Linked DNA regions of Xenopus tropicalis. The protein of the gene in region 3 purifies or fractionates together with the protein of the main gene of each other region. This does not show direct contact. Links are inferred from orthologs where the notes say so. Each region holds a gene or a part of one and is shown on either strand. Other genes may lie near its edges.

Region 1 (6,345 bases), on a different chromosome or scaffold from region 3:
TAACTTTAAAAGGGGGCCCGGCCGTGCTAAAGTTTTCCCCTTTAATCAATTCCGGGCCCTGTCATTGGTGGCCAGCGGGTAATCCTATTGGTTGCGCCCCGTGCGTACATGTACGTCAGTACGCACGGGGCGCAACCTTATAAAAGGGCCTGTCTTCTGTCGGCTCTCAGAAGCGCTGCGGTGTCATCCAGGAAGGACCTTGCCGAAGCCACCGCGAAGGAGCCGCTGCCGCATAAGACACCGGAGGAGCTGAACAAGACGCTGGCTACCAATGTACTGGGGGAAGGGGGGCACAGCTGGCTACAAATGTACTGGGGGAAGGGGGGCACTGTTGGCTACCAATGTACTAGTGGGGCACTGCTGGCTACCAATGTACTAGGGGGGGCCCTGCTGCCTACCAATGTATTAGGGGGGCCCTGCTGGCTACCAATGTATTAGGGGGGCCCTGCTGGCTACCAATGTATTAGGGGGGGCCCTGCTGGCTACCAATGTATTAGGGGGGGCCCTGCTGGCTACCAATGTATTAGGGGGGGCCTGCTGGCTACCAATGGCTCATGTCTGTGAGTCCTTTGTACTGGTGGGAGGGGGGCCCAGAAATTTTTTTTGTGAGGGGCCCCGTGATTTCTGATGGCGGCCCTGGCTCTAGTGCCGAGTTAACATTATTTAAACTTTACTCACGCCAATGATATTAGGATGGCTTAACTCCTGCAGCAGCTTTATCTCTCTGAGTGCTGTTCTGTTTATACCTGAAATAAAAACAAACGTCATAAGAAGACTTGTAATCTATTCACAAAAATTAAACCATGAGAAAAAAAAAAACATGAAAAAACCATGAAGCAAAAAAAAGGGCACCAATAAAAATAAAACCAGGGCAACACTGGTTCAAGTGCCGCCATATTGACATTCTAGATCTACCCCTAGTAATTTACTTTTCTTATGGTAGAAATATATGTAGCTGGCTAATAAGCACTTACCATCTTTAGCCTCTGCTCTATGTCCCAGTTTAATCTGCAACAAGAAAAACCACATGTGCCTTAATAGAGCTTAGAGCCATAGATTCTATGTTTTCTGGTTCAGTCTTGCCTATGCCTATAAACGTGAATTAAAAAAAAACAGATTGCTGCTTTACTAAAACAAACAAACAAACAATATATATATATATACACATATACACACACACACAAACATTTGATACAGAGATACAGGGGATGGGTATGTATTATCATCTGATAATATACTAATGAACACAATACTGCAGCCTATTGCTGTTGTGTTAGTGTTGTAATAGTATATACCCTCTCTCTTGTACCATTTCCTCCTTCGGTGTTGTTCGCTATTGTTGACATTATTCTGGATGTGTATAATTACTGTTGGGTAGGGCCACCTGAGATTTAATGTGGGTGTTTCTATGCTGCCCTGTACAACCCTCCTATTATACAAGATGGCTGCTGCATTTATACACGTTACAAGATGCTATCAGTCTCCAATATTATAGTCTTTTACCCTTTTACCCTTATTTACAGTGTGGGCATGGCAAAAGCACAATTTGTTTGCGACATTGAACATGTAACATATAATGTGCAGAACATGCAGGGTACATGACATTAATAAAGCATTTAGCTGTGAATAAGAAAGCAGTAAGAAACATACCTTTTTAATGGCCACAATTCTATCTGTATTCTTGTCTCTTGCTTTATAAACTGTGGCAAACTGAGAAACAGAACATTTCAGAACAATATGAGTGGGAAACAGTTTCCTGTCAGTTCCTATATACACCTCTCTACTCTGTCACAGCAGAGCCAACACTGACGGGACTGCCTGAGCAGCTTTTACTGTCACTGCCATTTATGAAACCTGCCAGAGTTTAAGGGAAGATAAAACCCAAACATAACAATTGTGCCAAAAAAGTACAAGTACAGCACTATGTAATGCCAGACTAAAAGCACTATGTAATGTCAGGATACTACAGGTACAGCACTATGTAATGCCAGACTAAAAGCACTATGTAATGCCAGGACACTACAGGTACAGCACTATGTAATGCCAGGATACTACAGGTACAGCACTATGTAATGCCAGGATACTACAGGTACAGCACTATGTAATGTCAGGACACTACAGGTACAGCACTATGTAATGCCAGGACACTACAGGTACAGCACTATGTAATGCCAGGACACTACAGGTACAGCACTATGTAATGCCAGGATACTACAGGTACAGCACTATGTAATGCCAGGATACTACAGGTACAGCACTATGTAATGCAAGGATACTACAGGTACAGCACTATGTAACCCCAGGATACTACAGGTACAGCACTATGTAATGCCAGGATACTACAGCTACAGCACTATGTAATGCCAGGATACTACAGGTACAGCACTATGTAATGCCAGGATACTACAGGTACAGCACTATGTAATGCCAGGATACTACAGGTACAGCACTATGTAATGCCAGGACACTACAGGTACAGCACTATGTAATGCCAGGATACTACAGCTACAGCACTATGTAATGCCAGGATACTACACCTACAGCACTATGTAATGCCAGGATACTACAGCTACAGCACTATGTAATGCCAGGATACTACAGGTACAGCACTATGTAATGCCAGGGTACTACAGGTACAGCACTATGTAATGCCAGGATACTACAGGTACAGCACTATGTAATGCCAGGATACTACAGGTACAGCACTATGTAATGCCAGGATACTACAGGTACAGCACTATGTAATGCCAGGATACTACAGGTACAGCACTATGTAATGCCAGGATACTACAGGTACAGCACTATGTAACCCCAGGATACTACAGGTACAGCACTATGTAATGCCAGGATACTACAGCTACAGCACTATGTAATGCCAGGATACTACAGGTACAGCACTATGTAATGCCAGGATACTACAGCTACAGCACTATGTAATGCCAGGATACTACAGGTACAGCACTATGTAATGCCAGGATACTACAGCTACAGCACTATGTAATGCCAGGATACTACAGCTACAGCACTATGTAATGCCAGGATACTACAGGTACAGCACTATGTAATGCCAGGATACTACAGGTACAGCACTATGTAATGCCAGGATACTACAGCTACAGCACTATGTAATGCCAGGATACTACAGGTACAGCACTATGTAATGCCAGGATACTACAGGTACAGCACTATGTAATGCCAGGATACTACAGGTACAGCACTATGTCATGCCAGGATACTACAGGTACAGCACTATGTAATGCCAGGATACTACAGCTACAGCACTATGTAATGCCAGGATACTACAGGTACAGCACTATGTAACCCCAGGATACTACAGGTACAGCACTATGTAATGCCAGGATACTACAGGTACAGCACTATGTAATGCCAGGATACTACAGGTACAGCACTATGTAATGCCAGGATACTACAGCTACAGCACTATGTAATGCCAGGATACTACAGGTACAGCACTATGTAATGCCAGGATACTACAGGTACAGCACTATGTAATGCCAGGATACTACAGGTACAGCACTATGTAATGCCAGGATACTACAGGTACAGCACTATGTAATGCCAGGACACTACAGGTACAGCACTATGTAATGCCAGGATACTACAGCTACAGCACTATGTAATGCCAGGATACTACAGGTACAGCACTATGTAATGCCAGGATACTACAGGTACAGCACTATGTAATGCCAGGATACTACAGGTACAGCACTATGTAATGCCAGGATACTACAGGTACAGCACTATGTAATGCCAGGATAAAAGCCGTAAAGCAGTATCCAATTACACGACATTACATACAGTGCCACTAAGCATCTCTGCGCAGTAGTAAAGCCCCACGTGTCCCACAGGGACCCGGAACCCCACGCAGCAGCACCCACCTGGCCTTCCCCCAGGAACTCCAGCTTCTCATACTGCTTGGAACGGGAGCGCACATCCACCCCTCTCGCCATTATCCCCTCCATTCTCCGCGCAACCCTTTCCCACAGGTCACTGTCACATCGCCATTTAACACTTTGGCCACGCCCACTGCATGCTGCTACCGGCGCGACGGGAGCGCGAATGTGACGTAAGAGGCATCTGGTTTCCTACAACTACCGGTTGCTATGGAGATCCCTGCTACAGGGGAGAGGCGGGAATTGTATGGTGTCAGTGGCAAATACCGGTTGTTCCTCAGAAGAATTCCTTCTCTCGAGGGTAACGGTTTATTCTGTACTAATGAGCCGCCCCTGGCTGGGACGCAGCCCCCCGCCCTTAGGCGCTGTAGCCAAGCAACACTGTATGTTCTTAGCCCTTTCTCCTTTGGTCCCGGCGCTAAAATCAAGTTGGAAAGGTGAATGCTGTGAGCACGCCATAAGGGCACTTCTCGGATAATACTGAGTGCTAAAACTCTCCCGCAATAAATAATGGAGACATGAAATGCTTTGCCAGGAGCTCATTCTGTGAGGTGCCCATTGTGCAGCCAAGTTACAGCCCCTGAATAGAAAAGCCTCAGCCACATTTTGGGATATATAATATGCTAAGGCCAGAAACAAAAGCTTTATAAGACATGACATGAGGGAGATAATGATTCCACTCCAGGCCTTTTGAGACCTTAATTCAAATGATCATCTAGGGGCATATTTATTATGCTGTGTAAAAAACAGCGAGAAAATTCACCACACTTCGCTGTGTAAAACAGGCGGGAAAAAACGGCGTCATTTTTTACGCGTTTTTTTTTTTTCACCAGAACTTATGGAAAATAACGGCGTAATATCTGGCGTTCAGACGGCGATCTTTTCCATTTATTTTACACAGGTTTTTACTCAGCGAGTTAGTTTTACACATAATAAATACGTCCCTTAGTGTGAAACTGAATTTGGTCCAAAAAAACAGGACTGGATCATTATCTCCAGAGCTGACAATTTTTTTTATTCCGCATCTAGGGGGCTTTGCGGCGTGCATAGAGCACCACACAATAATTGACTGTAGTGTGTGTGTGATATGGACCTTTAGAGTGTAAGCTCCACTGGGGCAGCGACTCATTTTTTCAATAGCCACTTAATCTTCTCTATGTTTTGAAGTGCAGGAAGGAAACTGGAGAACAGAGAATTCTCTGTTAGTGATGCCGGATATGTATACATTATGAATAAAGGATAATGATATATATATATGACTTAGTAAAATATATAGTTATTTGTAATTATATGATAAAATAAATCTAATGAAATAATTTGCTCCTGTTGTGTTCCACATTATAATTAACTTAGAGTTGGCGCTTCTCACAAATTTACAAGTACTCTATATGCATTAAAATCACAGATCACTTTATTTTCTCAGGTAACAGGTGTATAGATACAAAGACAGTTACGTTCTACATAGAGCAGTTATATTAAAATGATGTGGGTCTTTCTACTCTCCCAAACATTTAAAATACACCTTATATACAATGAGATTCCACACCTTAATTTAAATACCGCATAGTATAGATACAGGGTACATCTAAATTAGGATTTCCCAGGAATATAAAAATCCTTCATATTAATCACGGTTCTATATTTACCTACCAAATAAAATGATTAAGACCACCATATATCCAATGACCGAATGTACCTTAACAAGGGAATTGGTCTACTTGGGTTTTATTCCCACATGGAATAAAACAAACTAAAATGGAGGTATCCCCAACAGTTAACTACAACTCCTATTAAAGGAAAAAGAAAGGTAAAGTCACTTGGGGGTGCCAAAATGTTAGGCACCCCCAAGTGACTTTAACCGCCTACCTTTTACCCCGGGCTGGTGCCGCTGTCAGGAGAAAACAGCACCAGCCCGGGGTAGCTGCCGGCGCTTCCTCCTTCCGGCTTCGCTGCGCGCGCATGCGCAGTAGAGTGAAAAGCCGAACTTAAACATTTAAGTCGGCTTTTTCGCTCTACTGTGCATGCCCGGCCACCGGCAGTTTAGGAAGTGGAAGGCGGAAGGAGGAAGCGCTGCGCTCCAGCTACCCCGGGCTGGTGCTATTTTCTCCTAACAGGGGCACCAGCCCGGGGTACAAGGTAAGCGGTTAAAGTCACTTGGGGGTGCCTAACATTTTGGCACCCCCAAGTGACTTTGCCTTTCCTTCCCCTTTAATAGGCTATGAGATTGTCCAGGAACTTACTCAGACTCAAGTAGGTATCTTTCCCATATACTGTTCTCTCCACACGGTTGTTTCTTTGGCGTCTGATGTCACAGGTCTCCATAGTTATTGTGGTTTTACCTGCAAATATTTCCGAAGTCTGTCGCAATCTGCATGGGTACTATTCTTAGGTACTAAATATTAGATATATCCAACCCAACTACACATTTACA
Region 2 (5,912 bases), on a different chromosome or scaffold from region 3:
TTCTCCAGTGGTAACAGGTCGCTGGATTGTCCGGTGCCACCACTCTCTATCGGTGAAAGGTTTTAGTTTTAAGAAACATATTAGAGACCACAAGTCCTTCAAAGAGTTCTGAATAGGAGTGCCTGTTTATTAAAATAAAAATGCATTATGCCTATTGGCAATGTTATTTAATATAAGAAATCAAAGAAGCTATTCTGTGCAAAATGACAGAAGATATGCATACCTTTGTGTAACATTCTCTTCTATTTATACCTGTAGCATTACACAGCTAGCTAACAACCATGAATATTCTCTGTGAACAAATTTCACTGTCAATGGTAAAATATAGTATCAGTGCTCCATACATTCAGAATGAGAGTTTCCATTTACTGCTCAAAGCAGTCATCTTATTTTTTTATGAAAGACAGTTACTTTGCCAGCAAGCTAAGCCTGACTCCCTGTAGCTTACATAGTAATTGCCCAAAAGGGCAATGGTCAAAATGTCCCAGAAATGTTTCTATTGGAACAAGAGAGGGTGGCGTCTGCTGTTAAAGGAACAGTAACACTAAAAAATAAAAATGTTTTAAAATAATTAAAATATAATGTACTTTTGCCCTGCACTGGTAAAAGTTGCATGTTAGCTTCAGAAAGTCTACTATAGTTAATAGAAATAGCTGCTGTGTAGCCATGGGGGCAGCCATTTAAATTGAAAAAAGGAGAAAAGGCACAGGTTACATAAGAAGATACCAGATAAACTGTGGAATCTGCTACTTATCTGTTATCTGCTTAGTAACCTGTGCCTTTTCTCCTTTTTTCAATTTAAATGGCTGCCCCCATGGCTACACAGCAAGGTATTTATATAAACTGCAGTAGTGTTTATGAAGAAAACACACAACTTTTACCAGTGCAGAGAAATAGTATATAATATATTAATTATTTTAATACACGTTCATTTTTTGGTGTTACTGTTCCTTTAAGATGTACCAGGACAAAACACTGAAGAAGGGGTTGAAAATATAATCTAGCACACGCACCCTAGGCTGTATATGCCTGACTGCACAGGCTAGGGGGAAAAACCTACTGAATAGCCCTATGGTGCAGCCCTGCCTTAAGGTGGCGAGGTCGCCAAGCGAGCAGATTGTCTCCCAATAACAGGTGGACAATATTGGGCTAATTGCTGAGGTTGCCAAGTGAGCGGATCGTCTCCTAATAATGGGTGGACGATATTGGGCTAATTCGTTCGTTTGGCCCTAGGGCAGGCATAGGCGCCGCCGGTTCGAGGACCACATCAACAAGCCCATATGGTCCCTGATCCGTAATGAAATAGCGGGCATAGGCATACATCTGGGAAACACATCAACAAGCCAATGTGGTCCCTGATCAGAGGGAAAAATTAAATCTGCCCGATCGGGATCTGCCCCATTTCAGGCCAGATGTCGGTTGGGGAGGCCAATAGATTAGCTGCCGTTATCGGTCTAAAGGACCGATATCAGCAGCTGAAATTGGCCGGTGTACCTTTGCAGTCAGGGTAACATGAGCAAGGTGAGACTGGAACAGTTAGAAAATGGAATGTTGCACCAATATTAGTCCCCCAACTCTCTGCAGCTTCTAAATAGTACTGATCATGTCACAGAACATGTCTTCAAAAGCACAAATTGACTGATAATCTAATGTAAATAAAACTGTTCCAGCTGGAACACAATTTGCCAGTTGTCAGTCAAGGATTAAACATACACCGCAGGTGCAAATGCACAATCACTCAATAAAATAGTGTTGAGACCCAAATGGCCTAATCAAACCTGCCCGATCGAGATCTCCCCGATTTCAAGCCAGATGTTGGTCAGGCAGGCCCATTGTTTGTACCTCTACATGGGCAGATAAGCTGCCCAATCGGTCTAAAGGACAGATGTAGGCAGCTAGAATCTGCCCACCTATGGCCACCTCTACTCTGACAACGGACTCACAGAGAGATCAGTAGTACTTACAGCTGACTATCAGAAGCTATCATTGTTTACTACAGGACAAATATGCTACATCACCCACAGAAGCAAAGATAACTGTTACTAGCCATTTCCAAGCTACCATTCTCCATGTGTTTAACAAAGATGTTTAATATATTGGGTCTGAGAATAAAATGTTTGTAATTGCTGAATATCATATTTATGTTACCAGTTAATATCCATCTTCTCTGGGCTTCCAGGCTAAGTACAGCTTGAGTTTGCTGTGCATTTGGATTTCGTATAGTGTGCCCTTCATCCAACACCACTCGCAGCCATTTCACTTTGTGCAGAGGGCTCTCACTCCTGCTCTAAAAGAAATAAATAAATCCCTGTTTAATGAATTTTAAATGCAAATGTAGAAAAATCTTAAGGGTTTTAGGCAAATGTGGGCTAGCCAAGCTGAGCTGAACAATGGCTAGCTTTCTTATTAACAAAAGATTTAAAGTTAAGGGGAGGAGATGCAAAAATTGTTTCTGAGAGCATCAGTGTAATTCATAATATAGTGTTTAATGAGGTGCCTTAGGCATAGGGCTTCTTTACAAGCATAAAGGTACAAAAGTAATTTCTCACTAAAGTTTCTACTCTCCCAAACACTGATAGGTTTTGTCTGGCCAGACTTTATACACAAACCCAGGGAAAGTGGCAACATACTTACTCCATAATCAGAACTTAGGACACTGTATGTGGTTACTACAACATCTTGGTCTGAAAGGACTTTAGGGTCTTTTGTACGTTCAGGACCGTAATAAATATAAATATTCAAATGCACCTCTGGTTTTATATGCTGTTCAAACTGATCCTAGAACGATAACAGGAGTTAATGAATATTAATGGCAAAAAAGGAATCAAACATCTTAGAAGTAGAGACAAGGATAGGGTGGGTTATCAGTTACCATCAGAGATTTATGCAGCAATCTATAGTTAGATAGATTGCTAGATAGATAGCTGGAGAGACACTTATTGCAATGATTTCTTATATGACCTGCAGCTGCTCAAACTGTATTTACAGCTGTGCATTAGGTTAAATGACCCCCCATTTTCAGGCCTTGAAGAGTGCTATAAACATGCCTTCGTTTTCCAAGTGGTTTATGTGAATTTTAACCCAACCAACTCTAAGGAAACAGAAAAAAAACACATTTTGCACGGCTGTCTAAATACCATCAAACAGGAGCCAGATGAAATAACCTACAGGACCCTGACGTTTGGAGTGCTAGGTTTACAATGGCTGGCCACTGCGTTGGCCCAGGTGCAGGCCAATGAAGTGGATTTTGGAGCCAAAAAGGAGATTTTGTGATACTCACCGTTAAAATCCTTTTATCTCTGGAAGTCTGTGGCACACAGGGACCATGGGTTATAGCATGTACCAGCAGGAGGCATGAAACTAGAAGAGGAAGAAGAGGACAAAACCCCTCCTCCCTTCTGCTATACCCCCCTTCACTTCCTGCCTTAACCAGTTTTGTTAACAAAGAATGATCAAGATTAACAATCAACTATTAACTATATACATGTAGGCAGAGAGAAATCTGGAGAATCCGCTTTCGGGGGGGGGGGGTGCGTTGCCCAGTGGGGAGGAAAAATGGGCACATAGAGGTAGGCATCTTTGATGTCCAGGGCCACTAGAAACTCTTTTGGGTTCATGGCTGCGATAACAGATCGTAGAGACTCCATCTTGAAGCGAGGGAATAGAATGAACGCATTGAGTTTCTTCAAGTCCAGGACGGGGCGAAAGGATTCTTCCTTTTTTGGGACAAGGAAGAGGTTGTTGTAGAAAACTCGAAATTTGTCGCTTGGGGGTAGTGGAATAATCACTCTTTTGTCTAATATGTCATGGACAATCAAAAGGAGTGCATTTTGTTTGTGGGGATCCGGAGGAAGTCGTGACATGAAGAACCGATTTTGCGGTTTTGAAGGAAATTCGAGACGATAACCTGAGGTGACTATTTTGTGTACTCATGGGTCTGTGGTAAAACTAAGCCACGGGTCTCGAAAGAGGAGAAGTCTGCCTCCGACCGCAGCAAGATCTCCATGAGGATAGTCATGCTGTTGAGGTCTTATCTGCTCTGCCAGGAGTATTTGGGACGGCCTTCAAAGCGAGGCTTGAAGGAGTTTTGGGATAAATAATCCCTAGAGGATGATGCCTTTGAAGATCGTTAGCAAAAGAAATGTCCACAAACGAAAAGAGGTATGATTATTTGGTTGTGGGAGGAGAGTGCTCTTTCCCGCGGTCGCCTGGCTGATGATCTTGTCCAATGAGATGCATCTGTGGAACGCATCGGATCCTGTTGGAGACCTCTGGGTCAACCCCTGTTGCCAGATTGAATCTGGCCGAAGAAAATTCAGATGAGTGAAGTTGATCTTGTCTCCTTGTGGGACACTAGAAAAAAATTGGTTAAGGCAAAAAGTGAAGGGGGGTATAGCAGCAGGGAGGAGGGGTTTCATCCTCTTCTTCCTCTTCTCGTGTCCTGCCTCCTGCTGGTAGATGCTATACCCCATGGTCCCTGTGTCCCACAGATGACTGTAAGAGAAATGTATACTCACCACGCTTCCATGATGAAGCTCTGCTCTGTGTGCATGCATCTGGCCTGACACAGTGACACAGTTAGGGGCATAGGGCCAGATTCTCAGCCTGTGTTTATTTTATGGTGTGGCACTAGCCTAACAAATTTAACAGTAGATATTTCATACAAGGACAGAAACCTATCCTTTAGTATATATATTTAGTATATATATATATATATATATAAAGCCATGGAATATAGGAAATACATACAATCCAGTTACTTAGAACAGATAATGGACATATTATAAGTGTTGTTCTTCGTTGTCCTTCTGGTCCAGCCTTTGAAATGGACTGTGAAACTGTGACCCCTAAGAAAGGGAAAACGTATTAGCTGAATAAAACCTGTATGGAAGTCTTAGCATTAGCACTGATAATGAGGCTAACTATGAAATCGAATAGTCACACATTGAAGTATACTGGGAAAAAGGTTACAATGAGGTCATATATTATACAAATATGGAATCCTTTACTGGTACCGACATCTCATAATATGTTCCCTCATCAAATATGGATTTAGAATACAAGCTGTACCTTTTTTGTTTTTCTTTTTCCGCACTGCAGTTGGTAACCCAAAAAGAGCATTAGCAAACAGATCATCATCATGGAGAGTGCATTCGGCAGGAGCTGTATTGCAAAATAATTTTGTATACACAAAACAATATCTAGTGAATTTACTTACTACTAATAATCTTTTGTATGATGCTAAATTTTTTATACCTACAAAAAGTTTAAGGTCAAGCATTTCCCTCTGCTCTAGATTTATTACATTTTAGCTAAGGGCTGATTATCTGATCTGCCGTGTAATAAAGGGGGTTTATCTGAAGCTGGATTCTTTATAAATGAACTTTAAAATGACTGGAAGGCATGTACTGGTTTAATGATCTAAACTGTGTAACTCTGAGCCAAGAAATTAAAATGTCAGTCCAATCTGCATGCAGCATTTGTTTGAGCGTGGAGAGAGCTGCTGCCAACACTGTACAAATAGAAGTATAAATATGTTTAACAGTGTATGCTTTGAGTATAGTCACAAAGAGCACAGTAAACATGAAGTGCTGACAGGAGATGGAGAAAAAGCCTCATCAGTAGAAAGAGGTTAAACAAGGAACTTTTGAAAACAATTTTAGCAGCCAATGAAAACACGGAATACAAAGAACTTTTAACAGAACTGCTGTTAAATAAAAGCAATAGCTTAGGTATGTTATGTGATCTGTATAATTAAGAACGACCGCTTAAACCATATACACACATAATGGCAATGGCAGACTTCAGACACTTTAAGTTCCATATTTTTTAGTAGAATGAACATGTGGTGCCAAGGTGCCCAGTGCAGCCAATGATAGACTGATTGTGTCAGCACTTGTACAAACACCACA
Region 3 (6,494 bases):
CATTTTTTGGAGTGATTTATGGTTTTGTTGGGGATTGTGTAGGGAGAGGGATGGGGGACGGAGCGTTTCTACTTGACAGCTAAGACTGCCTGCCTGTAACAACGGATCGCTATGTAAGCCTGCACAGGGAGGGGGAGGAGGGGTGTGCTGCCCGGAAGCTTGCTACGAGAGTTGGAGGAGATCTGCTGCCTGAGTTCAATAAATTAATGGAAAGGTTAATTTTCAAGAAAACCACTTATACTTTTGTAATTTTTCCATGATATATTTTCTAATAAAAGTATTTTAAAAAGATATTTTGAATTTTAAAAAATTGTGTTACAGTTCCTTTAAGTTTCCCCATATTTCACCTGTTCAGAAGATCTGAAGCCAAACCGGAAGAAAAAACGCTGAGCTGTGTAAAAAAGATTCCCATAATGGCTCACTCCTGCCCAGACATGCAGAACAAACTGTACATGCTCAGTTAGTTAGACTTAGACTAACTTAGTAAGTTAGCGTCCTGCTGATTGGCTCATATCCACATTCCTAAGGGGGGGGAGTGAGTTCTTAGCATTCTTGAGGGAGGGGGAGCAGGAAAGAGCAGAGAACAGAAAGCTGCGTGTCTCTGGCACAGGAATTACAGACACAACTAATCTTTTTTCAGAGAAGTGTATTTACATAGACCTTTCTGTTAAAGCTTACTTAGTTTTTACCTTTCTTTGATTTTACCAGAGAACCAGCAAATTATAAACAAAAATAAAAGATGACTAGAAATTACAAGTATGCTTCCCTGATCATTACTTTGAATTCTGCCTATTAACCAGCTGTTTAAGAGCAGGGTAAAGAGTTAATTTTAACTTACCGCTCCCTGGGAATTCATGGTCATGTGAGCGTGAACAACTTCCAGCATATGAGAAACAAACTCGTTCATATCATCAACAGGAGCAATCTTAAATGCAACAACACTTTTCTTGTTCTGGAAGGATATACAAATTTTAAATACTCAGTGACATTTTCCAGTCCTCCATTTTCTTTTTTGGCTAAATATAAATTTTATTCTCTGCTCTGCCTTGCTACAGTATTTTCACTAGGACAGCTAGTGCTTTCATGAAGAAAATTTTCTAACAAAAATAATGTTGTTCCAGAAGTAAAAGCTTCATTAAAATAATTACCTGGAAGGAACGAAGGTGACCAGCTACTTTTACATAACTCCCTGGAGGGACCACCATATTTTCACAGCTTGCCTCCTGCAAAGAAAATGATTGGGACTTTGCACATTTTACAGTGGTAAAACTAGAAGCAGTTATATAATTGTCCATGGTTTAAATATAAAGAAATCTAGTTGAAACAGGACAGTAATATCTTACATCTGTGTCCACCCACTGTCTGACATCCATTGGTGCTGCAGTCATATCATCCACTTTGTAAAGAATATTTGTCGGAGCTTTTTCTGCATGCCTGACAATGCCGACTATAGTAACCTAAAAAAAAAAAAAAGAAGAAAAACATACTTTCATAAAAAAAATATTAGCATAGGCATATCTATTTCAAGAGATATGGTGCACATTACATTACTTGTTGGTTCCTCTTTGAACAACAACAAAGTATTTCAAGTTCACATTCCACCAAGGGTATATAGGCACCTAAATGCACAATCTTCCCAATAGCCGACTAGTAAAAAGGTATTTATTGGATCACTATTCTTCTTTCAAGCGAAATAATATTAAGGGGTTATGCATAACAGGACCATATATTAAAGGGGAACTATACCTATACAACTATTCAACACACAACACATGGATAATTCCTTATAAAGCACCTCAACTCATATGATACACTGGGGGTCACACAAAAAAACAGTGGCATGCACGTGTTCTAAGTCACATCAGTCAATGAAGGGGAAGAGCTGTGTCTTTTACCAAAACACCTCTTCCTGTTATAGTTAGAACCTGCATTATCTGTTCTCTGAGGTAGCACAAAGACCACTGCAAAACAGTGGCTCGAGTGAGATGTAAAAAGAAATACAGGCATAGGACCAGTTATTCAGAAAGTTTCGAATTATCGAAAGGCCATCTCCCATAGACTTCCTTTTAAGGAAATAATTCACATTTTAAAAAAACTTTTTTTCCTCTGTAATAATTAAACAACACCTTGTACTTGATCCCAACTAAGGTATAATTAACCCTTACTGGCAAAAAAAACCCTACTGGGTTTATTTAATGTTTAAATAATTTTTTAGCGGACTTAAGGTATGGAGATCCAAATTACGGAAAGATCTAGAAAACCCCAGGTCCTGAGCATTCTGGATAACAGGTCCCATACCTGTACCTAAGATTTAGGATATAAACATAAACTGCATTCCAAGTAACCTATGGTTTTCCTTATCAAAGATGACAATTTGATCTCTTACTATAACAGGCACATTCAGATAAGGGTGAAGGGATTTTGCCTACACACAGCAATAAGTAGACAAAAAAATGTGTGCTGATCTTAAGGGAACAGTTCAGTGCAAAAATAAAACTGGCTATAAATATAATAAAACAGAAAAGCTATGCAGAATATAGTTAGCCAAAAACCTAATCTATAGAGCAGGGATCCCCAACCTTTTATACCTGTGAGCCACATTCAAATGGTAAAAGAGTTTTGGGAAGCAACACAAGCATAGAAAAAGTTCTTGGGGGTACAAAAGCTATAATTTGCTATTTGGTAGCCCCTTTGCTGGCTAGCAGTCTGTAGAAGGCTCTGTTTCACTTAACACTGAGTTTTATGCAATTAAAACTTGCCTCCAAGCCAGAAATTCAAAAATGAGCACCTACTTTGAGGCCAATGAGGAGCAACAACCAAGGGGTTGGTGAGCAACATGTTGCTCACTAACCACTGGTTGGGGAACACTGCTATAAAGGCTGGAGTGAATAGATGACTACCATAATAGACAGAACACAACTTCCTCCTTTATAGCTCTCTAACCTGTTTGATAGCCAGCAACTTGAAGAAGAGGAGACATGAGACATAACTGTTCAGTTAGTTTGCTATTATACACGCACACAAACATACATACATACATACATACATACACATATATACATACATACGAGACAGTGAGTGATACTAACCTGTGAAAGTTCAGCCTCTCCTATCCGAAACATTTCGTCATTTTGTGTTGCTGACAGTAGCTGTGACACAGTACATGGCACTATTTGCTGTGACCTGGACCTCTGAAAAATAATTACAGTACAATATATATTTTCCAAGAAAACCTCAGCTTATATCTTGCAAATATATCAACATCAATTAAGCCTACTTTCTAAATACTAGCAAAAAGAAATGGAATTGAACCAAAAGTTCTATGGAAAATAAATAAAGAAAATTAAAACAATTATTTAAGAGGACCCTATGGAATATAGCATTTCAATATTTTTTCTGGATTTATAAATAAGAGATCCCATTACAGTAATGTTGTCATGTTATCAGTAGTACTTTTAAAGCTAAATCATATCAGCATCTATTAAATCAGGCCCTAGAGAAATTTAGAAAGGATATTCAAATGTGCAATTTGATATTATAATATAGGCAACATACCGATTTTTTCTCTCCCTGAGTGGGTGCAGGAGACCCAAAGCCTCCTGGAGACTGCATATAACCTCCTCCTCCCATGCCAGAGCCACCATACCCACCATCAAATCCACCTGCGACAAAAAAAAAAAAAAAAAGCAGGTTAATTGGGTCCTTATAAAATTTCGAAGAATATATGTTAATGTAATAAAAACATGTATTGTATGTTCCACTGCAGCAGGGTCTGATGTATAATCTCTGTGGAATATGCCAGTGCTACAAAATAAAGGATAACAATTATAGTACGCCCCTCCCTATTATCCTAGGCTTACAAATAAGTGAAAGTAATCCAAATAATACATAATCATGCCTAATGTTTAGCCATACAGACAGCTAAAATCCTAACTGGATAAAGGTAAAATATGTTTTCCTTATAGGAGTTAAAAGGTAAATACAATATTTAAAATATTATTTTTGAATACCCCTCTATAACTTTTTTTTTTTACTGCAACGATAGTGCCACAACTATAAATGGGCCAAATCCTAGAGTCCTCCAACCTGTCGGCCCATGGGCCTAATGTACAGTTCCTACACAAGGAGCCATATACGTGTATACCCACCTTTGTATTTTTATTTCGTTCAGAAGAGGACTCATGGCGCAGTAATATGCTTCGCCACTAGAACTAATACATTTAACTGAGTGTTGCAGCATCACTACGCTAACCAGATTTCGTTGCGCACCGAATATGTTTCATCATTCCTGACGAAGTATTACTACAACGCCTTGTTCCTTTCACCACGCAATTAAACACAAAAATAGCGCAATATATATATTGCACATTCTATTTTACTTGTCTAATACCCTTACCGTGGTTGTTCCACATGTTTCTGCAGCTCTTTTGCTACTTCTCTATCTCCGCTGTTCCTGACAAGGACTCTTGGCGCGCTCCACAGCCCAGCCAATCAAATCTGAAGGCCACGATATGCTCAGCCGTCTCAGCCAATAAAACCACTGCTGCAGTTCCGTAATTCGGTGGCTGAGACCATATTGGAAGCTGCCTATGTTGTCGCGGGAAACGACGTCACAGGAGAGCCGTCCATGTTTACTACTGGCGGCGCATTGTAACGTTTACAGTAATAGCCGTTTTTGATTTGGGCTAAGGCTTCTTTTTAACTAAAAATGTCTTCGTATTTGCTGTCATAAATAACCATAATAGTGTTTTTTGAAGCTTGTGAAGGATGTTGTTATTCTTTTTTCACGCATTTGGTGACTTTTTTTTTTATCTTGTGGGTATGTGTATCATCTGTCTGGATCTGGAGAGCAACAGCTTAAGTTAGTTATTAATATTAAAGCTGCCCGAAAATTTATTTGATAGAGCTTTAAATGCATAAAGCTATAGTAAAATAACCAAACAACATCAGGCAAATGAAAAAAAAAAACATTTTAAACCATAAATGTACCATAAACTTAGATTGTAAGCTCTACGGGGCAGGGACCTCATTACTACTGTGTCTCATACCACATGGCACTTACTCCCTGTGCATTTATATATATTTATTTATTAGATCACCATACCTCCCAACATTTGAAAAATGAAAAGAGGGACAAAAAGATTTGGCAAATTTTTTGATCACGCCCCCTTTTGTGGCCATGCCCCAATTACCACACCCCATTTAAAAAAAATACCCCTTTTATACAGATAAAATGGCAGTGCAGACGAAAATGTGCTATACCCTCATACTGAATGACCTAAGGAAAAAAAGTATAGAGAGAAGGCAGTGAGTTATAACTAAGTACCAGTTTTGCCCCCCCATATACAGTACCCCCATACACAGTAGCCCCCCCATACACAGTACCCCCATACACAGTAGCCCCCCCATACACAGTAGCCCCCCCATACACAGTAGCCCCCCCATACACAGTAGCCCCCCATACACAGTAGCCCCCATACACAGTAGCCCCCATACACAGTAGCCCCCAATACACAGTAGCCCCCAATACACAGTAGCCCCCCATACACAGTAGCCCCAATACACAGTAGCCCCCCATACACAGTAGCCCCCCATACACAGTAGCCCCCCATACACAGTAGCCCCCAATACACAGTGCCCCTCCATACACAGTAGCCCCAATACACAGTAGCCCCCAATACACAGTAGCCCCCAATACACAGTAGCCCCCATACACAGTAGCCCCCAATACACAGTAGCCCCCCATACACAGTAGCCCCAATACACAGTAGCCCCCCATACACAGTAGCCCCAATACACAGTAGCCCCCAATACACAGTAGCCCCCTATACACAGTAGCCCCCAATACACAGTAGCCCCCCATACACAGTAGCCCCAATACACAGTAGCCCCCAATACACAGTAGCCCCAATACACAGTAGCCCCCAATACACAGTAGCCCCCTATACACAGTACCTCCCATAGGCGCTTTGTCTGTGGCTTCGTTATGCCTCTCCTTGCGCTGCGCGACAGGTCCTTTTATAAGGTTGCGCCCCGTGCGTAATGACGTCACACCCACAGGCGCAACATTATAAAAAGCAGCCGACGAAGCAAGAACATCCGGCTACAGCAAGGGCATCCTGCTGTGCCGGATAGTTCCATGAATGTCCCGCAATGCGGGACATTCATGGAACTACCCGGGACAGCGGGACGCGCCATAAAAAGCGGGACTGTCCCGCGAAAAGCGGGACAGTTGGGGGGTATGGATCACTTGTCCTCCCTGTGTGTAATTGTGTATATTGTAAGATTGTACAGCGCCGCGTACCCTTGTAATAAAGTTATATATATATATATATATACATAAAATGTGTGATAAATGTGTGATAGAGAAGCATGACGGACAGAGTGAACAAACTGAAGCCACAGTCAGTAATATAAAAACATAAAACTGTAGACTGTATTGCAGGTATACACTACCCATCAATTATTTTTTATTTTGGTACATACCACAAACG
Region 4 (6,361 bases), on a different chromosome or scaffold from region 3:
GTAAAACCCAACGGACTCTGGTATATGCCATTATTATGCCAGAATTACAAACAGCATAAGTGTAGCGATGCAGCAGGCATATTTCCCTGGTAATGCTGAGGCAGAAGTGTTTGGGCCCTCTGATGCACTAAGGCTAATGCCACACGGGCGTATTTTTGGCAAGCTGAAAAACGTTTGCCGAGAATACGCCCTGCTACTGTCGATTTGGCCTACCTTGTGCCTGCACCCGAATGAATGGAATACGCTCCAAGACTTCATATTTTCGGCTACATGTTCCTGCACCGTATCGTATTTCATTCATTAGGGTGCAGGCACAGGTAGGGGCATTTTTTAGCGTATGGTGCGTATTCTTAGCAAGTGTTTTTTGGCTTGCCGAAAATACGCTCCATATGCTACATGTGGCGTTAGCCTAAGATTTAATCAAGTAATCCAGGCAGAGCATACTTACTGAGTTGATCTAAAGCAGATGGAGGCATGATAACTGAAAAAAAGAAGAACAAGAAAAGTTACAGTAGTATAGTCTGTGACACACCATACACTATACACATTACTTCCAGTGACCCTTTTTCAAAAATGAATAAAGAATCACTGAAAGTGCTCCACTTTTTAAAGACTGAATTATCTCCTTTGACTAGAATTTTTGTTTTTCCTCACTCATGAAAGGACCAGTAAAACAAAAAACAAGAAAAGGTTTTATCTGTATGTAAATATAATATACTATTACCCTGCACTGGTAAAAAGTGTATGTTTGCTTCAGAAACACTACTACAAGTTATATGAAGTATATGGCACAACCAAAAGAATAGGGTAAAAAGGCACACATCTACACAGCAGAGTACAATGGTGCTGTTTTTACACAGCATAATAAACATGGGTCAAATGCCATTCATTCTTTCTACAGAACAATTGATTGAAAACCTCTTATATAATATAGAACCTATAATACTTAATGCTCAGGACCAGGGGTTTTTCCTGTACAAGCGGTCATTGTGTAATTTGGATCTTCATGCCTTAAGTCTGCTCAAAATGTATTTAAACATAATATACCAAATAGGATTGTTTTGTCTCTAATAAGGTTTGATTATATCCTAGTTGGGATTTAGTACAAGTACTGATTTATTACAGAGAAAAAGGAAATTATTTTCTTAAATTTTAATTATTTAATTAAAATGCAGCCTATGGGCCTTGCCGTAATTTAGAGCTTTCTGGATAACAGGTTTCCGGATAACGGATCACATACCTGTACTGGATATGTGTGGCCAAGAATTACCATTGTGTCCACTTTCCACATCCTGTACAGTTTGCATGATGGTACATGATGATAACAGAGATCTCATGACCTGTGACCAGGCCTGGACTGGCAATGTGTGGATTCTGGCAAATTCCAAAAGGACTGCTGTTAGATGCCATAGACAAGCACTATTTAGTGAACTAGCAGGGGCCTTGAAATGCAAGGGCATATATTAAATCCCAGTCTGCTTGTGGCCCACAAAAAAGTGGTCTAGTTTATGATTATTAGATATTATTACCTATGTTTAAATAATTTTATCTTGAAAAAATTACAGTACAGCTCTTAGTCACATATTACTTACTTTTCCCTCCTTTCTCCACATCAGATCGGTCATTGGGACCCGCCAACATGGAAACGGAGTAGCAACGGTACTGAGTAGAGAAGCGGTTTTGGAAAACCCGGGGTATGGGGTGGTCAAACATGTTGAAAGAAAACTAAAAGAGAATGGAATTAGTGAGATTTTGGAGCTGTTATTTCATTAAGCAACATAAAGATACATCGTGATAATTTGAGAAATTCTTTTTTACTTTGTTTTTACCCTTTTAGTGTTATTTAAGTGATCTGTAAAAACAAAAACTATTACGGAAACATACATTCAGATTAAAATCATACTGTTATTTTTCATGTAAAAAAAATCTTACATACAACAACTCTTCTTTCCCATCCAAGATGCATATAGCAGTAAAAAACTAACCCCTCAGTCACTGTTCAGCCTCCATAAAACCTGGCAGGTAAATGGTGTTTTATGATGATATATAGGTATACATGACATGACGCTATCACAAATGTGGAAGACAGATCTTACCATTTTGTTACCGGCTTTCTCTTATTATCCCGGCGGACCTAACACTATCTTAGTCACCGTCCTTCCCGGAAGTAAATATAATTGCGAATCAGACGATCGGAACAAGAGAAACTACGAATCCCAAGAAGCAACACGCTAAAAGCGGAAGTTAATAGACCGCTGTCAGATATCGGGAAGCGACCAATTGGCTGCTAAACTGTAGGACGCAGAGGCGGGGTTTATCTTGCGCTGAGCCTTCACGGATTGGGCGGGGTTGGTGTATGTCACGACGAAACGGGCTGTTTGATTGGCCACCGCTGCTCTAAGGGATTTTGGCGCCAGTTTCGAGGGCAGCCGTCAACTTGTCGAGATGTTTGTGAGTGATCTCCGTAAAGAGTTTTACGACGTGATCGTTACCGAGGTGAGAAGGGTAACCGGGATAAAGGATTTTTTTTCCCAAATAAATGATATGACACCACTCACTGTCTCTTCTCTGATTTCCAGCGCGTTCTTCTCCTTGTTGCACCTGATGTTGATGCTCTCTGCGCCTGTAAGGTACTTCAGGTAAGAACAAACCAAAATTAAGTTTTTTTTCAACAATTTAAATCACCATACCTACTTAAAACAACATGTAACTATGAAATAAAGCCAATAGGATTGCTTTATCACTAACAAGTTTTTATGCAGCTTAGTTGCTGTAAAGTACAAGATACTGTTTTATTACAGAGAAAATGTAATTAAAAAAAAAGATTTTGCATAAAATTGACAATGGGAGATTTCTGCATATCTGGTTTCCATTAAACTCACAGTGCCCCTTGCACAGATCCGACAGTATAAACACTTCATCCCCACATATAAAGCTGGTCATACCACCTAGTTTGCCAAATGAGTGGATCTTTGTCCCATATGTCACAGCACCACACTGATTGTTAGGCCTTCGACCAATGATTGGATCATAATGGCTGCTAATGCAGGCTGTTGGGAGAGGTCCACATCAATACGTATGTGGTGCTCTTCCCAATGGGTTTTTTTTTTTTTCTACACTGCCTAATATGTTGGCCAGGTAAATATCAGGGATGAAGTCGGAGAGGACCCATGTACCGGTAAATACAACTTATTTTATTTCCCACCAGATAATGTGCATGGTACCAACAGTGTTGCAGCTCTTGAACCATTTAGGGTCTGCTACTAAAACACTGTTACTAAAACAATGTAAAGTGTACTAGTGAGTATAAGTTACCAATGATAGAAAAACCTAGAAAGAAGGATAAATATTTCATTTCTGAAATCTGAACACTTGCCCCAAGTTGGTTCTATTATTCCTCCATCTCCAGCCTTTTGCCCAAATGAAAACATTTTATAGTGTAAAATTCTTGTGAAAGTTTTGCATTTGCTACATATAAATAGTGCATCTGTGTAATGGTGGATACTATGATTTAACTTTTATTTTTACCATAACTACGTAGTCATATTTTTTGGTTTTGGTCAAATGCACCTTAGAAGTTTAGTCCAAACCCTTATTAGCACATTTACAAAATATTGCAACAATTGTGAACAAATATTTGTTCTATTCAATTGTCCAGAGTGGTAATGTGCTTGGTCTTAAATTTTCCAATTCTTCCCCCTTTATTAAAGGAACAGTAACACTAAAAAATGAAAGAGCTTTAAAGTAATAAAAATATAATGCACTGTTGCCCTGCAATGGTAAAACTGGTGTGTTTGCTACAGTAACACTACTATAATTTATATAATAAGCTGCTGTGTAGTCATGGGGGCAGCCATTCAAGCTGTAAAAAAGGAGAAAAGGCACAGGTTACATAGCAGATAACAGATAAGTTCTGTAGAATACAATAGTGTTTTATCTGTTATCTGCTATGTGCCTGTGCCTTTTCTCCTTTGAATGGCTGCCCCCATGGCTACATAGCAGCTTATTTATATAAATTATAGTAGTCTTTCTAAAGTAAACACACAACTTTTACCAGTGCAGGGCAGCAGCACATTATATTTTAGTTACTTTTATACACTTTCATTTTTTGGTGTTACTGTTCCTTTAACTCAAACTGCCCTATCACCTTGGCTGATATCATAACATCGGGCAGTGTGCTCTAGAAACACTATCCCATCAAAGATGAAGACCAGGTTTCTAGAGCCCAGCTGCTGGACAGTGATAACCTGCACTTGAAGTAGTGAGCCATTTTTTGGGCCAAACCAGCTCTTTAAAGTCATGTGATTTTAATAACCATTTAGTTTAGGGGAATTAAAAAATCTGCAAACAGTGCTAGGATAATCCAAAATCCTGGATTTGGTGCATGCCTCTCCTTAATGCATTAAAGGTACCTGCCATTTAAAAATCTAGCACCAAAAAAGCATAAAATATGTAGTCTTAGCACTTTAAATATAGGCTGAAAACTGTTGATTTTTCTTAGTGAACTGGTAGACTATTTAGCATTTTTAAGAAATTTAAAAATGTCTAAAAAGTAGTTTTGTTTTTTTTTTCTCATTTTAAGTGTATGCTGGCCAAATTACCCACCAAGTAAACCCATCATTTGATACACCCTGGGTGTACTAGTAAAGGGCAAACAAGTGCAAGATCATTTGTATTATACGACTAGTCACAAATGTTTAAAGTATTCTGGATGCATGGACATTAATTGATGTTTTAGGAGTTTTCTTTAAAGGACATGTAAACCCCACGCACAAACAGCCTCTTAGAAATCTTTTTTTAATACCTGTCACACTGGTTGTCCAGAGGTTAATAGAAAGGCTGCAGCATCCCATTAATCACTTAGATTTCCTTCTCCTCCTGTAACCCACTCAGCCCCCTCCCTCAGAGATTTGCTTTGACTTCTGGCTTGTGGGCATGCTCAGTTGTTCTAAGCTCCGATTACCAAACACGCTCTCCAGTCTAGCAGCCAATGAAGAGATGGCATTTCTGGGTCCCATAGAAGCTCAGGTCTAGCTGTCTGCTTCAATGTTTTTCTTCTAACCTCCTGTCCTGAGCTCAGCTTAAACAAAGCAGAACTTTTATCGAAGACAGTTCTGCCTGTGTGAGCCTGTATTCTTTATGAAATGTATGCTGAATTCGGGTCTGTGTGTGTATGTTTGCAGATATAAATGTATTTGATTATGTATCAGGAAAAATGGCCACTGGGTGAAAGCTGCTATTTGCTTTAGAAAAAATGTAATTGTGCTGATAAACAGAGGGGGATATATGCAGTGCAAATTATGCCATTTGGGTGGGGGAAGACGTGCCCACCTGATATATATTGTAGGCAAATGTAGGCTTTACATGTCCTTTAAGAATCTGTATACAACTAAATTGCCCCCTCCCTCATCTGCTATGTTGGACTGTTTTAACAATCAAAACAAATCCGGTGTAAGCAAAGCCTTAAATGGGAACTCCATTTTAAAAGTATATGTACATTTTAATATTGAAGCAATATGCCTTTTTATATTTTTTTCTGACTTATAAGAACTTAAAATAAAAATAAATTAAATAAAATCTTGATCTCCTTACAGACAAAGCATCAGTTCCCATAGTGTAATGCAACAATGCATTGTGGGAGTTGGTGTCTTAGCTGGAGGAACGGTGACTTGCTGCATTGTTTAAACTCTAGGGACAAGAACAAAACTTTTAGACAGATGATGCGTGCAATATCATTTAATTTAATTGGATAGCTGCTAAAAATAATTAACTATATAAGGCTGCACAATGACGCTGAAACCCCCTCATGTAAACAGAGATATGATTTTTGTATTAAATGTCTTCTCTGATAGCTTAACCAGTGTTAATCTTTTTTGTGCACAGGCATTATTTCAGTGTGATCATGTACAGTATACCTTGGTCCCAGTCTCTGGCTGGCAGGAACTTGAAACATTGTTTCTTGAACATAAAGAACAGGTAATCTGTCATTCTTGTACTGTTTCTTTTCCAATTCTCATTTTATAGCATATGTAACCTCACCAGTGCTAGGTGTCTAGTTTGGCTGCATCTTATATCTGTTATACAGTCTGCAATTTTATTACCCATCACCTTCTTTCCAGATAAGGCCAGAGGTGATTTTAGTTGCAGGGGCAACTAGCTGTACATCCGCTTTCAGCATCATTCAACTTACGGCAGAAGTTTATAAATATAATATCAGTAACTGTGGTTTAGCTTTGATGCTCCTTCTTAAATGGCCAGTGGCACGTTCAAATAAAAATTCCCTGAATGCAGTTATACAATGATGTTTATTTCAAGCATTATCATTCATCTCATGCATTATGTAGGGGATCTAATTGCTTAA

The links. Proteins that work in one complex are often made in the same cells at the same time.
Region 1: the proteins of rpa2 (region 3) and cdk7 purify together in Homo sapiens (affinity purification with mass spectrometry; 3 studies listed by BioGRID and IntAct, with this or other methods). This does not show direct contact. The link is inferred for Xenopus tropicalis from reciprocal best matches to the Homo sapiens genes RPA2 and CDK7.
Region 2: the proteins of rpa2 (region 3) and hltf purify together in Homo sapiens (affinity purification with mass spectrometry, with the first as the bait; 3 studies listed by BioGRID). This does not show direct contact. The link is inferred for Xenopus tropicalis from reciprocal best matches to the Homo sapiens genes RPA2 and HLTF.
Region 4: the proteins of rpa2 (region 3) and cdc45 purify together in Homo sapiens (affinity purification with western blotting; 3 studies listed by BioGRID and IntAct, with this or other methods). This does not show direct contact. The link is inferred for Xenopus tropicalis from reciprocal best matches to the Homo sapiens genes RPA2 and CDC45.

The regions. Positions count from the first base shown.
Region 1 is NC_030677.2:186,232,271-186,238,615, forward strand, and holds the start of cdk7 (cyclin-dependent kinase 7), read right to left. Parts: upstream 4,031-6,345; 5' UTR 3,984-4,030; coding exon 3,900-3,983; intron 1,711-3,899; coding exon 1,651-1,710; intron 1,009-1,650; coding exon 975-1,008; intron 747-974; coding exon 679-746; intron 1-678. UniProt on the Homo sapiens protein: Serine/threonine kinase involved in cell cycle control and in RNA polymerase II-mediated RNA transcription. Cyclin-dependent kinases (CDKs) are activated by the binding to a cyclin and mediate the progression through the cell cycle.
Region 2 is NC_030681.2:122,179,531-122,185,442, forward strand, and holds part of hltf (helicase-like transcription factor), read right to left. Parts: intron 5,164-5,912; coding exon 5,071-5,163; intron 4,848-5,070; coding exon 4,750-4,847; intron 2,779-4,749; coding exon 2,635-2,778; intron 2,288-2,634; coding exon 2,149-2,287; intron 123-2,148; coding exon 1-122. UniProt on the Homo sapiens protein: Has both helicase and E3 ubiquitin ligase activities. Possesses intrinsic ATP-dependent nucleosome-remodeling activity; This activity may be required for transcriptional activation or repression of specific target promoters.
Region 3 is NC_030678.2:79,454,190-79,460,683, reverse strand, and holds the start of rpa2 (replication protein A 32 kDa subunit), read right to left. Parts: upstream 4,440-6,494; 5' UTR 4,413-4,439; coding exon 4,397-4,412; intron 3,663-4,396; coding exon 3,556-3,662; intron 3,192-3,555; coding exon 3,090-3,191; intron 1,458-3,089; coding exon 1,344-1,457; intron 1,224-1,343; coding exon 1,149-1,223; intron 953-1,148; coding exon 839-952; intron 1-838. UniProt on the Homo sapiens protein: As part of the heterotrimeric replication protein A complex (RPA/RP-A), binds and stabilizes single-stranded DNA intermediates that form during DNA replication or upon DNA stress.
Region 4 is NC_030677.2:154,229,439-154,235,799, forward strand, and holds the start of cdc45 (cell division control protein 45 homolog), read left to right. Parts: upstream 1-2,331; 5' UTR 2,332-2,445; coding exon 2,446-2,496; intron 2,497-2,579; coding exon 2,580-2,639; intron 2,640-5,883; coding exon 5,884-5,976; intron 5,977-6,361. Other genes in the region: ufd1 (ubiquitin fusion degradation protein 1 homolog), read right to left, coding at 449-481, 1,593-1,725, 2,097-2,099. UniProt on the Homo sapiens protein: Required for initiation of chromosomal DNA replication. Core component of CDC45-MCM-GINS (CMG) helicase, the molecular machine that unwinds template DNA during replication, and around which the replisome is built.